Linked DNA regions of Callithrix jacchus. The protein of the gene in region 1 purifies or fractionates together with the protein of each later gene. This does not show direct contact. Links are inferred from orthologs where the notes say so. Each region holds a gene or a part of one and is shown in the gene's direction. Other genes may lie near its edges. The genes, in order: EXOC7, EXOC6 and EXOC6B.

Region 1 (3,647 bases):
TGGGGATCTCTGTGCTTCCCTGGTCCTCTTTCTTCCTGGCTCTGTGGGGATCTCTGTGCTTCCCTGGTCCTCTTTCTTCCTGGCTCTGTGGGGGTCTCTGCGCTTCCCTGGTCCTCTTTCTTCCTGGCTCTGTGGGGATCTCTGCGCTTCCCTGGTCCTCTTTCTTCCTGGCTCTGTGGGGATCTCTGCGCTTCCCTGGTCCTCTTTCTTCCTGGCTCTGTGGGGATCTCTGCGCTTCCCTGGTCCTCTTTCTTCCTGGCTCTGTGGGGATCTCTGCGCTTCTCTGGTCCTCTTTCTTCCTGGCTCTGTGGGGATCTCTGTGCTTCTCTGGTCCTCTTTCTTCCTGGCTCTGTGGGGGTCTCTGCGCTTTGCTGGTCCTCTTTCTTCCTGGCTCTGTGGGGGTCTCTGCGCTTCTCTGGTCCTCTTTCTTCCTGGCTCTGTGGGGGTCTCTGTGCTTCCCTGGTCCTCTTTCTTCCTGGCTCTGTGGGGATCTCTGTGCTTCTCTGGTCCACTTCCTGGCTCTGTGGGGATCTCTATGCTTCTCTGGTCCTCTTCCTGGCTCTGTGGGGATCTCTGCGCTTCTGTGGTCCTCTTTCTTCCTGGCTCTGTGGGGGTCTCTGCGCTTCTCTGGTCCTCTTTCTTCCTGGTTCTGTGGAGATCTCTGCACTTCTCTGGTCCTCTTTCTTCCTGGCTCTGTGGGGATCTCTGTGCTTCTCTGGTTCTCTTCCTGGCTCTGTGGGGATCTCTGCGCTTCTGTGGTCCTCTTTCTTCCTGGCTCTGTGGGGGTCTCTGCGCTTCTCTGGTCCTCTTTCTTCCTGGTTCTGTGGGGATCTCTGCACTTCTCTGGTCCTCTTTCTTCCTGGCTCTGTGGGGATCTCTGTGCTTCCGTGGTCCTCTTTCTTCCTGGCTCTGTGGGGGTCTCTGCGCTTCGCTGGTCCTCTTTCTTCCTGGCTCTGTGGGGATCTCTGTGCTTCTCTGGTCCTCTTTCTTCCTGGCTCTGTGGGGATCTCTGCGCTTCTCTGGTCCTCTTTCTTCCTGGCTCTGTGGGGATCTCTGTGCTTCTCTGGTCCTCTTTCTTCCTGGCTCTGTGGGGATCTCTGTGCTTCTCTGGTCCTCTTTCTTCCTGGCTCTGTGGGGATCTCTGTGCTTCTCTGGTCCTCCTTCTGGCTCTGTGGGGATCTCTGTGCTTCCCTGGTCCTCTTTCTTCCTGGCTCTGTGGGGATCTCTGTGCTTCTCTGGTCCTCTTTCTTCCTGGCTCTGTGGGGATCTCTGTGCTTCTCTGGTCCTCTTTCTTCCTGGCTCTGTGGGGATCTCTGTGCTTCCCTGGTCCTCTTTCTTCCTGGTTCTGTGGGGGTCTCTGCGCTTCCCTGGTCCTCTTTCTTCCTGGCTCTGTGGGGATCTCTGCGCTTCTCTGGTCCTCTTTCTTCCTGGCTCTGTGGGGATCTCTGCGCTTCTCTGGTCCTCTTTCTTCCTGGCTCTGTGGGGATCTCTATGCTTCTCTGGTCCTCTTCCTGGCTCTGTGGGGATCGCTGTGCTTCTCTGGTCCTCTTTCTTCCTGGCTCTGTGGGGGTCTCTGTGCTTCCCTGGTCCTCTTTCTTCCTGGCTCTGTGGGGGTCTCTGTGCTTCCCTGGTCCTCTTTCTTCCTGGCTCTGTGGGGGTCTCTGTGCTTCCCTGGTCCTCTTTCTTCCTGGCTCTGTGGGGGTCTCTGTGCTTCCCTGGTCCTCTTTCTTCCTGGCTCTGTGGGGGTCTCTGTGCTTCTCTGGTCCTCTTTCTTCCTGGCTCTGTTTCTTCCCTTTGAGTGTGTCTCCCTCTTCCCTCTTGTTTATCTCCCCTCCACTCACTCCTTTCTTTCCCATCTGTTTCTCCGTCTTAATTTGCCATGATACTGATGTGAAATATAGTTGACAGTATTTGTTCAGTTTATTGAACACTCAAATGTTTCCTTATGTTTTCTCAATGAGTGACCAGTTTAAACATTTTCTCTTTTGTTTGTTTTTTTTGTTTTTGTTTTTTGTTTTTTTGAGACAGAGTTTCACTCTTGTCACCCCGGCTGGAGTCCAATGGCGCAGCCTTGGCTCACTGCAACCTCTGCCTCCCGGGTTCAAGTGATTCTCCTGCCTCAGCCTCCCAGGTAACTGGGATTACAGGCATGCAACACCATACCCAGCTAATTTAGCATTTTTAGTAGAGATGGGGTTTCTCCATGTTGGCCAGTCTGGTCTCGAACCTCTGACCTCAGGTGATCTGCCTGCCTCAGCATCCCAAATTGCTGGGATTATAGGTGAGAGCCACTGCGTCTGGGCTGTTTAAACATTTTCTATTCCCAGGAAGAGAATCTGTTGTTTTGCTTAGTTGTGACCCACATCCCTTCCTACCACCAACCACTAAGTAGATCCAGAGATTTGGCAAATGACACAAACCAGGCCACCGAGGCAGGCCGTCCTCTGCCCTCATGCTTCTCTTTCTGTCCGGCAGTTGGTTAAAGGTGACCGATTACATCGCAGAGAAGAATCTACCTGTGTTCCAGCCGGGAGTCAAGGTGGGCTCAAGGCCTGGGCTGGGAATGGGTGTTTAGCAGACTGGATACTTTGTTGTATCTCTGGGAAAAGAGGACAAGCGTCCCTCTGGGATCAGAGAGCAAAGGATGTGTATGGCCATCAGGGCACAGGAGAGAAGCCCAGGCCAAGGGCGTTTGGAACAGAGTGCGGGCAGGCTGCCCTGCTCTGAACTGAGCTTTCTCTACTATCTCTCCTGGCTTCCCAGCTCCGGGACAAGGAGCGTCAGATTATCAAGGAGCGTTTTAAGGTGAGTTGAGGTCCTCTCCTTTCCACTGCTTGCTGCTGTTTTTGAGACAACACAGACCCAAAGTTTTGTCTCTGGGTCCCTTCCTTTTTCACCTTTTTGGTGGCCAGGGCTTCAATGATGGCCTTGAAGAACTATGCAAAATCCAGAAGGCCTGGGCTATTCCGGACATGGAGCAGAGGGACAGGATTCGCCAGGCCCAGAAGACCATTGTTAAGGAGACCTATGGGGCCTTTCTGCAGAAGTGAGCCCCTTCCCAGCCTGTGCTGCCCACGGCCACAGTGGGCTCTTTGAGCTCCTCTTCCTCAAGGGCAAAAGGAAAAGGGTGACAGGTTTAGGCCGCAGATCCAGCACCCTGGGCTTTGGGGCGGGGCTGGACAGGGAATCACTCTGGGTCACACCTTCCGAGACTCTCAGGAGTGCCTTAGGCTGAGGGTGGTGCTGGGGAGGGTCGGCTTCCCTGTCCCCTGACGGCAGTGCCCCCTCAGGTTCGGCAGTGTGCCCTTCACCAAGAACCCGGAGAAGTACATCAAGTACGGTGTGGAGCAGGTGGGCGACATGATCGATCGCCTTTTCGACACCTCTGCCTGAGCCTGCTGCTAGCCCTGCCTGTTTCCACCAGACTGACATGTCATTGGACAGATAAACCAGTGTTAAGTTGCCTCTGGCCCCTTTGGGACAGAGTCCTATCTCCAACACCCCATCCAGGAGCCATGTCCCTGAGCCATCTAGTCCTGGGTTCCACTCTTTCCCCACACCCTATGTTCCCAACCAAACCAGCACTCTCCTGGAAGCCTGGAGTCCCTTCATACCTTGGCTTTGGTGACCCTGATGGCTTCTGAAAC
Region 2 (4,178 bases), on another chromosome or scaffold:
CAAGCTTTTGTGTGTGTGTGTGGTTTTCATTACTGTGAATATTCATCTTAGGGCATGATTGGGCAGGATAGGGATTTAAGAAAACTTATTTGGACTTGGGGAAAATGCATTTTGCTGGGGACAGAAGACACTAAAATTCCCATTCCAGATATATTGCCATGTGGAAATTGATGAACTCAAAATCTCCTGATTTTGATTTTTTTTCAAGATCTAATAATCAATGAGCCTTTAAATCCGTGGTTGGAGTTATTTATGTGACTACTGACAATATGGGACAGAATGTGAAAACCAAACAATCACCCAGGATGCTTCTAAATGACTGGGAGTTCAGGCCAGGTGCAGTGGCTCACACCTATAATCCCAACACTTTGGGAGGCTGAGGCGGGCAGATCACCTGAGGTCAGGAGTTTGGGACCAGCCTGGCCAACATGGTGAAATCCTGTCTCTACTAAAACGACAAAATTAGCAGGGTGTGGTGGCACGTGCCTGTAATCCCAGCTACTTGGGAGGCTGAGGCAGGAGAATCCCTTGAACCCGGCAGCGGAGGTTGCAGTGAGCCAAGATTATGCCACTGCACTCCAGCCTGAGCAACAGAGTAAGACTGTCTCAAAAAAAAAAAAAAAAAAAAAGAAAAAAGAAAAAAGACTAGGAGTTCAGTATTTTGTAGTCAAAATAATCACGTTGTACTGATATTTATTTTTCAGTCCATAGAGGTTTTAGGAAGTCCCATTTGGACTCTGTATATGTCTAATTTTTTCCCTTGACATGTATTTTTTTGTATTGTTGATAAACCCAAATAAGAAGCACTTTGGAGACTCCTCCTACTCACCCAAAGATCTGAGACCCCAGGTCCACAGAAAGAAGAGCAGCTACCCCTTCACATGTGGCTGTAGGAAAACCAGAATCACACCGTTGTGGATGCAAGCATGGCTCGCAGCAAGACAGATGGAATCCCTACCCCTCTCTTGCTGGCTGGGGCCCCGGGGGACAAACTCATCCTCAGCCTCCGTCCCTCAGTTCCTAGAGCGGAGCGTGGCTTCCCCGAGAGAAGGCGTCCGTCCCATGCACGCAGTGGGCCCGAGTGTCAGTCAGAAAAGCTAGACAGCCCCAGTGATTCCTTCTTTTGAGACAGCTCTTGGGTTCGCAGTTGCAGGCGGGAAACCTGCTCAGTCGGATGTACACAAATCTCTCTGGACAATACAGAGGGCTGCGGCAAGGGGACCTTGGAGCTGGCAGAGGCATTTCCTGTCTGCGGAGGATCTTGACTTTGGAGCATCCGGCCGTCGCCGCGAGCAGCCGAACGCTTTCCTGCGTTGCTACTTTAAAAAAAAAACAAAAAACAAAAAGAAGTCACTGCAAATATCCCGCGACTTTCCAGATGAAAGCCAATGAAGCCGCTTCCCACTTTAAAAACATTTGTTTAAAACGTATGTTCTATCCATTCCTTAGACTCCTTTTTATTTTGGAAGGGGAGTTTGGTATCCTTGAAAAACCATAAGTATTCAAAAATCTCATTCTCTCTGAAGTCAGCTTTTTAGATGAACAAGTACGGGAAAGAGTTAACGGCAGAGGGTCCCTCCTCTGCTGCTCGCAGACGCTTGCAGTAGGAGATGCTCATAACCTTGTTTGTGTTTTTCTATCGGGGTTTATGCCCTTCCATCCTCCTTCTCCTCCCCACTTTTCCTTCCTCATCTTATTCATTCCCTTTCTCCTTTCCCCTCCTTGCCTTTCAGGATTCCTCATCTTCATTCAGTTTACTTCCCCATTTAGAATGGAAAATGACTAATCTCCATTCTTTAGATGTCACTACTGGAGCCAAGATTTTCCTGAAATTTATGGAAATGTTCATCTTTTAGCTGAGGTGAGAATCCTAATTGAGGGGAATGTTGCTGGAGCCCTAATGCGTTGCTCCCATCCAGCCGGGGATAAATGTTTAATTTATTTTATTATTAAGCAATAATAATAACATAGGCTGGGACTGGTGGCTCACACCTGTAATCCCAGCACTTTGGGAGGCCGAGGCAGGCAGATCATTTGAGGTCAGGAATTTGAGACCAGTGTGGCCAACATGGTGAAACCTCACCTCTTCTAAAACAAATACAAAAATTATCCGGAAGTGGTGGCAGGTGCCTGTAATCCTAGCTACCCCGGAGGCTAAGGCAGAAGAATCACTTGAACCTGGGAGGCGGAGGTTGCAGTGAGCCGCTGCACTCCAGCCTGGGCCACAGAGTGGGACTCCATCTCAAATAAATAATAATAATAATAATAATAATAATGATAATGAGAACATAAATAGAAGAGTAATAATCCCTGTGTCCTAAGGTCAAGGCACTCAGTAGCACTGGAGTGTAACGGAGCTGACAGATCTGGAATAAGGGGTGAGCAGCACATGCTGTGGCAGGGACTCCCAACCAAAGAAAACGAAAAGGAATGGTGTTCCACGGAGAAGGACGGTCCTGTCCACAGGCCTGGAGGTGAGAGAGGGTGGGGAGTATGCATGACTGAACTCCAGAGATTCTGAATTTCAGAATTTTGAATCAGGGATTGCGGACCTAGGTTTGCTTTACCCACCACACAGTTATCTTTGTTTTTGCATTGGCACTTTCCTCTCTCTGGAACTCTCTTCCCCACCAGATATAGCCTCATGGCTTGCTCCCTCCTCTCCTTCAGACATGGCCTTCCCTTTGCCAGCCTTTTTGCGATGGCAACCTCCTCTTCCTATCCCCAACCACAATTTAATTTTTTCTATTTCACTTAATGCAATGGGATATAATATTTTTACTGCCTTATTATTTGTCTCTTCTTGCTGATATATGAACATCATGAGGGTAGGGATTTTTGTCTGTTTGGTTCACTGCTATGTATCTTCAGCCTGCCCTATTAAGCACTTGGTAAATATATGTTAAATTAATGAATTACTGAGCATGTACTATGTGCTGCTAAATATTATGCGAATCTTTCACTTGCTTTATATCATTTAATCATCAACGACCCTATGAAGTAGAGGCTGTTATCAACCTCATTTTCCAGATAAGGAAACTGTCACCGAGAAGTTACACCCAAAACCTCAATTACTATACCGGTCAATGTAATGAGAATTTCCTCACTGAATCGGTTGCACTCTTAAGAAGGTATCAAATCAAGTCTAATTCTAGCTGTAAGAAAAGAGTTGAGGTTTTTTTGCTTATCTTATTTAATCTTTTGCCTTGATTCAATCTAGCATTATATCTGGAAGGAATTATGATACAGCATCAGGTATAAGCAATTTCTGTGTATGTAACATATTATTCTATTACATTAGAAAACTAATAAGCTGAGTGAAGTATCATTTCTCCCTCAGTTTTCTGGGGGAAATGAGCATTATAAAATATATTTTATATCTTTCAAAGTGTTAAAAAAAAAAGTTGTCTGGGTGTGGTGTCTCATGCCTGTTATCCCAGCACTTTGAGAGGCCGAGGTGGTTAGATCACGAGATTGGGAGATTGAGACCATCCTGGCCAATATGGTAAAACTCTGTCTCTACTAAAAATACAAAAATTAGCTGGGTGTGGTGGTGTACTTCTGTAATCCCAGCTACTCTGGACACTGGAACGTCCGGAGTAGGAGAATCCCTGGAACCCAGGAGGTGGAGGTTGCAGTGAGCGGAGATAGCACCACTGCACTCTAGCCTGGCAACAGAGCAAAATTCTGTCTCAAAAACAAACAAAAAATGTTTTCCTCTGGTTCATGTTATTTGGTGTCGCAATTACATAAACTATTTAGTATAATTATGTTTATTCTTCATCTGGCCCATGGAGGCCTGTTCCACAGGGGACTCTGGCATCAACATGGCAGTGTGATGGCTTACGATTTGTGTCCCCTGCATCCAGCACTATGTTTGACCTGCCGTAAGCTTTTAATAAATATTGTACTACAGAATGAAAGTGAAAGCCATGTGCCCTTCCTCAAGGAGAGGAGAGCCATTTCCCTCCCTCCCCAAGCCCTGCACCCTCATTATACTTCCCATTCCTTGGCTACCAGAAACACAGCTTGCCTGGATGGCTTTGGGAGCACAGCAGAAAACAGTGGGTAGGGGCCATAAGTGCTACAGAGACACTTGGCAGGTGCCAACTTGGGCCACGGTGAGGGGAGGACATATTTAGGTCTATTTAAGGTTAAATAAGCACTAAAAGAAGATG
Region 3 (3,647 bases), on another chromosome or scaffold:
AAACCATGGCACACCTATTAGTGAAAGTTAAATAGTGGAACTTAAATTAGTAGAAGGAAGTTATACAGCTATTTATAGCAGTTGTATAGCTAGTAAGAGACAGAATCACGATTCATATGTAATAACCTCTGGTTCCAAAATCAATGCTCTTTACCACTGTGGTATACTGTCTTTCCATTTTTACTCTTGTTTATTTAGAAAAGCTTTGGATTAAGAATAGAATTCAGTAATAAATGGGGCATGATAATCTAAATACATTGAGTTTGTATTAGTTTCCTAGAGCTGCTGTAACAAAGCACCATAAATTGAGTGGCTTAAAACAACAGAAATGTATTCTGTCCCAGTTTTGGAGGCTATAATTCCAAAATCAAGGCATCAGAAGGGCCATGTTCTCCCTGAGACTAGGTAGAATCTTCAGCTCCTGCTAGTGATCAGCAATCTCTGATGTTCCCTGGCTTGCAGCTGTATCACTCTCTGCCTCTGTCATCACATGATGTTCTCCCTGTGTATCTCTGTCTTTTCATTTTGGCTTTTCAGGACACCAGACATACTGCATTAAGGTCCCTTACACTAATAGGATCACATCTTAATTTAACTAATTACATCTACAGTGGCCCTATTTCCAAACATGACTATACTCTGAAGTTCCATGAAGGATATGAATTTTGGGAGACCACTTTTCAACCCAGTACACAGCTCATGAGTCAGATGTGATTCTGTAGAGAACTTCTCATTTTAAGCCCAGATACCATAAATGAAAAGTAGGAACTGTGTACCAAGAATCTTCATGCTTTTGTTTTTTTTGGGTTTAATCCTGTGCTAGATTATCCCCTAAGGTGGATACTAATATGCTGTTCTCAGTTCCTGCTTTTCTTCTGCTTCCCATTGCCTCTTTGTTCATGATTCGTTTGAAAGCTGGTTTTTATTCTGGACATTTTCCTTCTGGAATGTTTTGTGAGTTTTTTAAGGAATGTTTTCTTACCTGTTATCATCCTATGGAAAGGTTGGTTTCCCTTCATTCTTATGAGTTTGAGATAGTTGATTCAGATACCAGCTTTGGTGTACTGGTGGTTAAGTTCTTGCAGTTTCCTTGTAAGGATATTTTATACCCACCCTTACAGGTTTGTAAGTAAGGTTCAATAAATGGCAATAGTTATTTTTATTTTCTATCATTATCATCACTGTTAAAATAGAGATTTTGAGAAATGTGGTACTACCAAATTCCAGACCTGGGACCTTCTCTTTTCCCTTGAAATATAAAAGTAATTGGTTCAATTGTGTCAAAACCATTTCCGTTTTCTTTATTTTACAGGGTGCCCGGGAAACATTTGAGAATTACTACCGAAAACAGAGGCGAAAACAGGCTCGTTTGGTACTTCAACCTCCGTCTAACATGGTAGGATTACTATCTTCACTTTTCTCACATTTTTACTTTTCCTTGGTATCTTTTGATGCTTGTGTGTTTGTGTGTATACTGTCATTCTCAGATAACTTTTGGTGGATGCGACTTGTAGTATGAAAACATTATCGATTGATTGCTATGTGTCACTCAGTGTTCTAAGTACTGGATATATGCTGTCCCATTTCCGCTTCATTGGCAGATAACATTAGTATTTTTACCTTATCAGATATCATCTAGGGAACTGAGCCTTAAGAGATTAAGTGACTGATTTTAACTTTTTTTTAAAGTAACAGAACAGAAACAATAACTTTCTTCTTTGCTTTGTTGCAGCATGAAACGTTAGACGGCTACAGGAAGTATTTTAATCAAATTGTAGGGTAGGTATATATATATATATATTTATTTACTTAAATTTATACACTTTCAATACATAGAAAGTTGTGAGAGTTGGAAAAATAAATCAGGTTTTCCTTGGGAAATTCTTTTTTTCTTTTTTTAAAATTTGTTTTCTTTTTTTAAATTCTTAAGGTTTGTTTTTGATTTTCTAATGATTTAAAAGGAACATTCTGCTGGTTTCAATATTATATTGTTGTAGGGCACTTTGTGGATAAAGTGAGAAAAACATTGAATTGTAATCTTATTATACTTTATGTTTTGTTTCTTTCTTTTTGGTAGATGGAACCAAATAATCATCAAAAGTTGGCAAACTTTTTCCAAAAGGGCCAGATAGTAAAATATTTTAGGCTTAGTAGGCTGTATGGTCTCTGTCACAACTGTTTAGCTCTGTTGTTGTAGTGTAAAAGTAGCTATAGACAATACATAAATGATGAGCATGGCTATGTTCCAATAAAACAATCTTTATAAAAACAGGCAGTGGGCTAGGTTTATCCCACGGGCTAATACAGTTTGCCACCCTCATCTAGAGTGTATATAGTGGTATGGAATTGCATTTCCCAAATAAACACCCCAATATAGGCAGCTTGGTCAAATTCCAAAATAATGACTTTGCAGTAAACAGAAAAGGAAATAACTTGGATTCATCATCAGGTTTGTTTTATTTCAGATTTGTTTCAATATAATTAGTAGTTATTAAAATTTATCATAAAAATTTTCTAATAAAGAAGTTTTTTTCATTAATATGGACATTTAGGCAAGACAATGAAAGGTACATTTTAAATGCATAATAATAAGAAGCAACAACAAGATCGTTGAAAAATAACTTTGCATTTTTGAAACCTTTATATGATGCCTTTTCAACACTTTGATGAGAGAGTTTGCATGAGGGAATTATTTTGATATTTTGTGCATTGGATTCTTAAAAAATATATATATAAATAATACATAACATATATGATGTATATAACATATATTAGCTTTTATGGAAATATATTGATGGCTTGGTGTTTTCTTATATAACAAAATTTGCCTCTGTTACCTCTACACATTTTCCTCTTTTAAACTACTGGATATCATTGTTAACATTTAATAGAAATGTAATACAAATGTAACTCTTAATATCTCTAGGAGTAGTTAAGAAGATATCATAATCACAGACATAATTTTTAGTCCAAGTAGTCTGATTTCATTTATGATATTCAGATAACCAAATAACTTTCTTCATTTAGTTAGTAGTTAGTAGTCATTTCAAGAAAACAATGACTACTAACTTTGCATTTGTTATCTCTTAATGCTTTTAAAACCCCAGAGATAGTAATATAACTGTAAATTCTGACAGCTGTGCTTTCTTTTTTCCTCAATCTTAGCTTTTTTGTGGTTGAAGATCACATTTTACATACAACGCAGGGCTTAGTTAATAGAGCCTACATTGATGAACTGTGGGAAATGGCACTTTCAAAAACCATCGCAGCACTCCGTACCCACTCGGTATGTAAGAAGCCCAAGAGAAGTTGTTATTTAGAGCTGATTATCTATCTGCTATTCAGTGTTTTACTGCTTTAACATCCGCATATGTGTGTCTTTGCAGTCACTCACTTGAAGCTATATATGTCCTTCAAAGATATAGAAGTAGCTCCTTCAAATTGTCACATTTTCTTCCACTGAGCTACTTTTATAGATGCCCTTTGCAATAAGAAAACAGCAGCTAATGTCTGTTGATTATTCTATGAGTCAGACATTATTTTGTATACTTTATACATACTCTCTTATTTCATCCTCACTACAACCCTAAAAAGGTAGGTACTATGATGATGATGATGATGATGATGATGATGATGATGTTTACCTT

Evidence for each region.
Region 2: the proteins of EXOC7 (region 1) and EXOC6 purify together in Homo sapiens (affinity purification with mass spectrometry; 4 studies listed by BioGRID and IntAct, counting the BioPlex papers as one, with this or other methods). This does not show direct contact. The link is inferred for Callithrix jacchus from reciprocal best matches to the Homo sapiens genes EXOC7 and EXOC6.
Region 3: the proteins of EXOC7 (region 1) and EXOC6B purify together in Homo sapiens (affinity purification with mass spectrometry; 3 studies listed by BioGRID and IntAct, with this or other methods). This does not show direct contact. The link is inferred for Callithrix jacchus from reciprocal best matches to the Homo sapiens genes EXOC7 and EXOC6B.

Annotation. Positions count from the first base shown.
Region 1 is NC_133506.1:131,987,820-131,991,466, reverse strand, and holds part of EXOC7 (exocyst complex component 7), read left to right. Parts: intron 1-2,475; coding exon 2,476-2,539; intron 2,540-2,763; coding exon 2,764-2,805; intron 2,806-2,912; coding exon 2,913-3,046; intron 3,047-3,290; coding exon 3,291-3,393; 3' UTR 3,394-3,647. UniProt on the Homo sapiens protein: Component of the exocyst complex involved in the docking of exocytic vesicles with fusion sites on the plasma membrane.
Region 2 is NC_133513.1:85,429,994-85,434,171, forward strand, and holds the start of EXOC6 (exocyst complex component 6), read left to right. Parts: upstream 1-1,263; 5' UTR 1,264-1,427; intron 1,428-1,733; 5' UTR 1,734-1,861; intron 1,862-2,322; 5' UTR 2,323-2,389; coding exon 2,390-2,474; intron 2,475-4,178. UniProt on the Homo sapiens protein: Component of the exocyst complex involved in the docking of exocytic vesicles with fusion sites on the plasma membrane.
Region 3 is NC_133515.1:40,663,016-40,666,662, reverse strand, and holds part of EXOC6B (exocyst complex component 6B), read left to right. Parts: intron 1-1,312; coding exon 1,313-1,396; intron 1,397-1,732; coding exon 1,733-1,779; intron 1,780-3,165; coding exon 3,166-3,286; intron 3,287-3,647. UniProt on the Homo sapiens protein: Component of the exocyst complex involved in the docking of exocytic vesicles with fusion sites on the plasma membrane.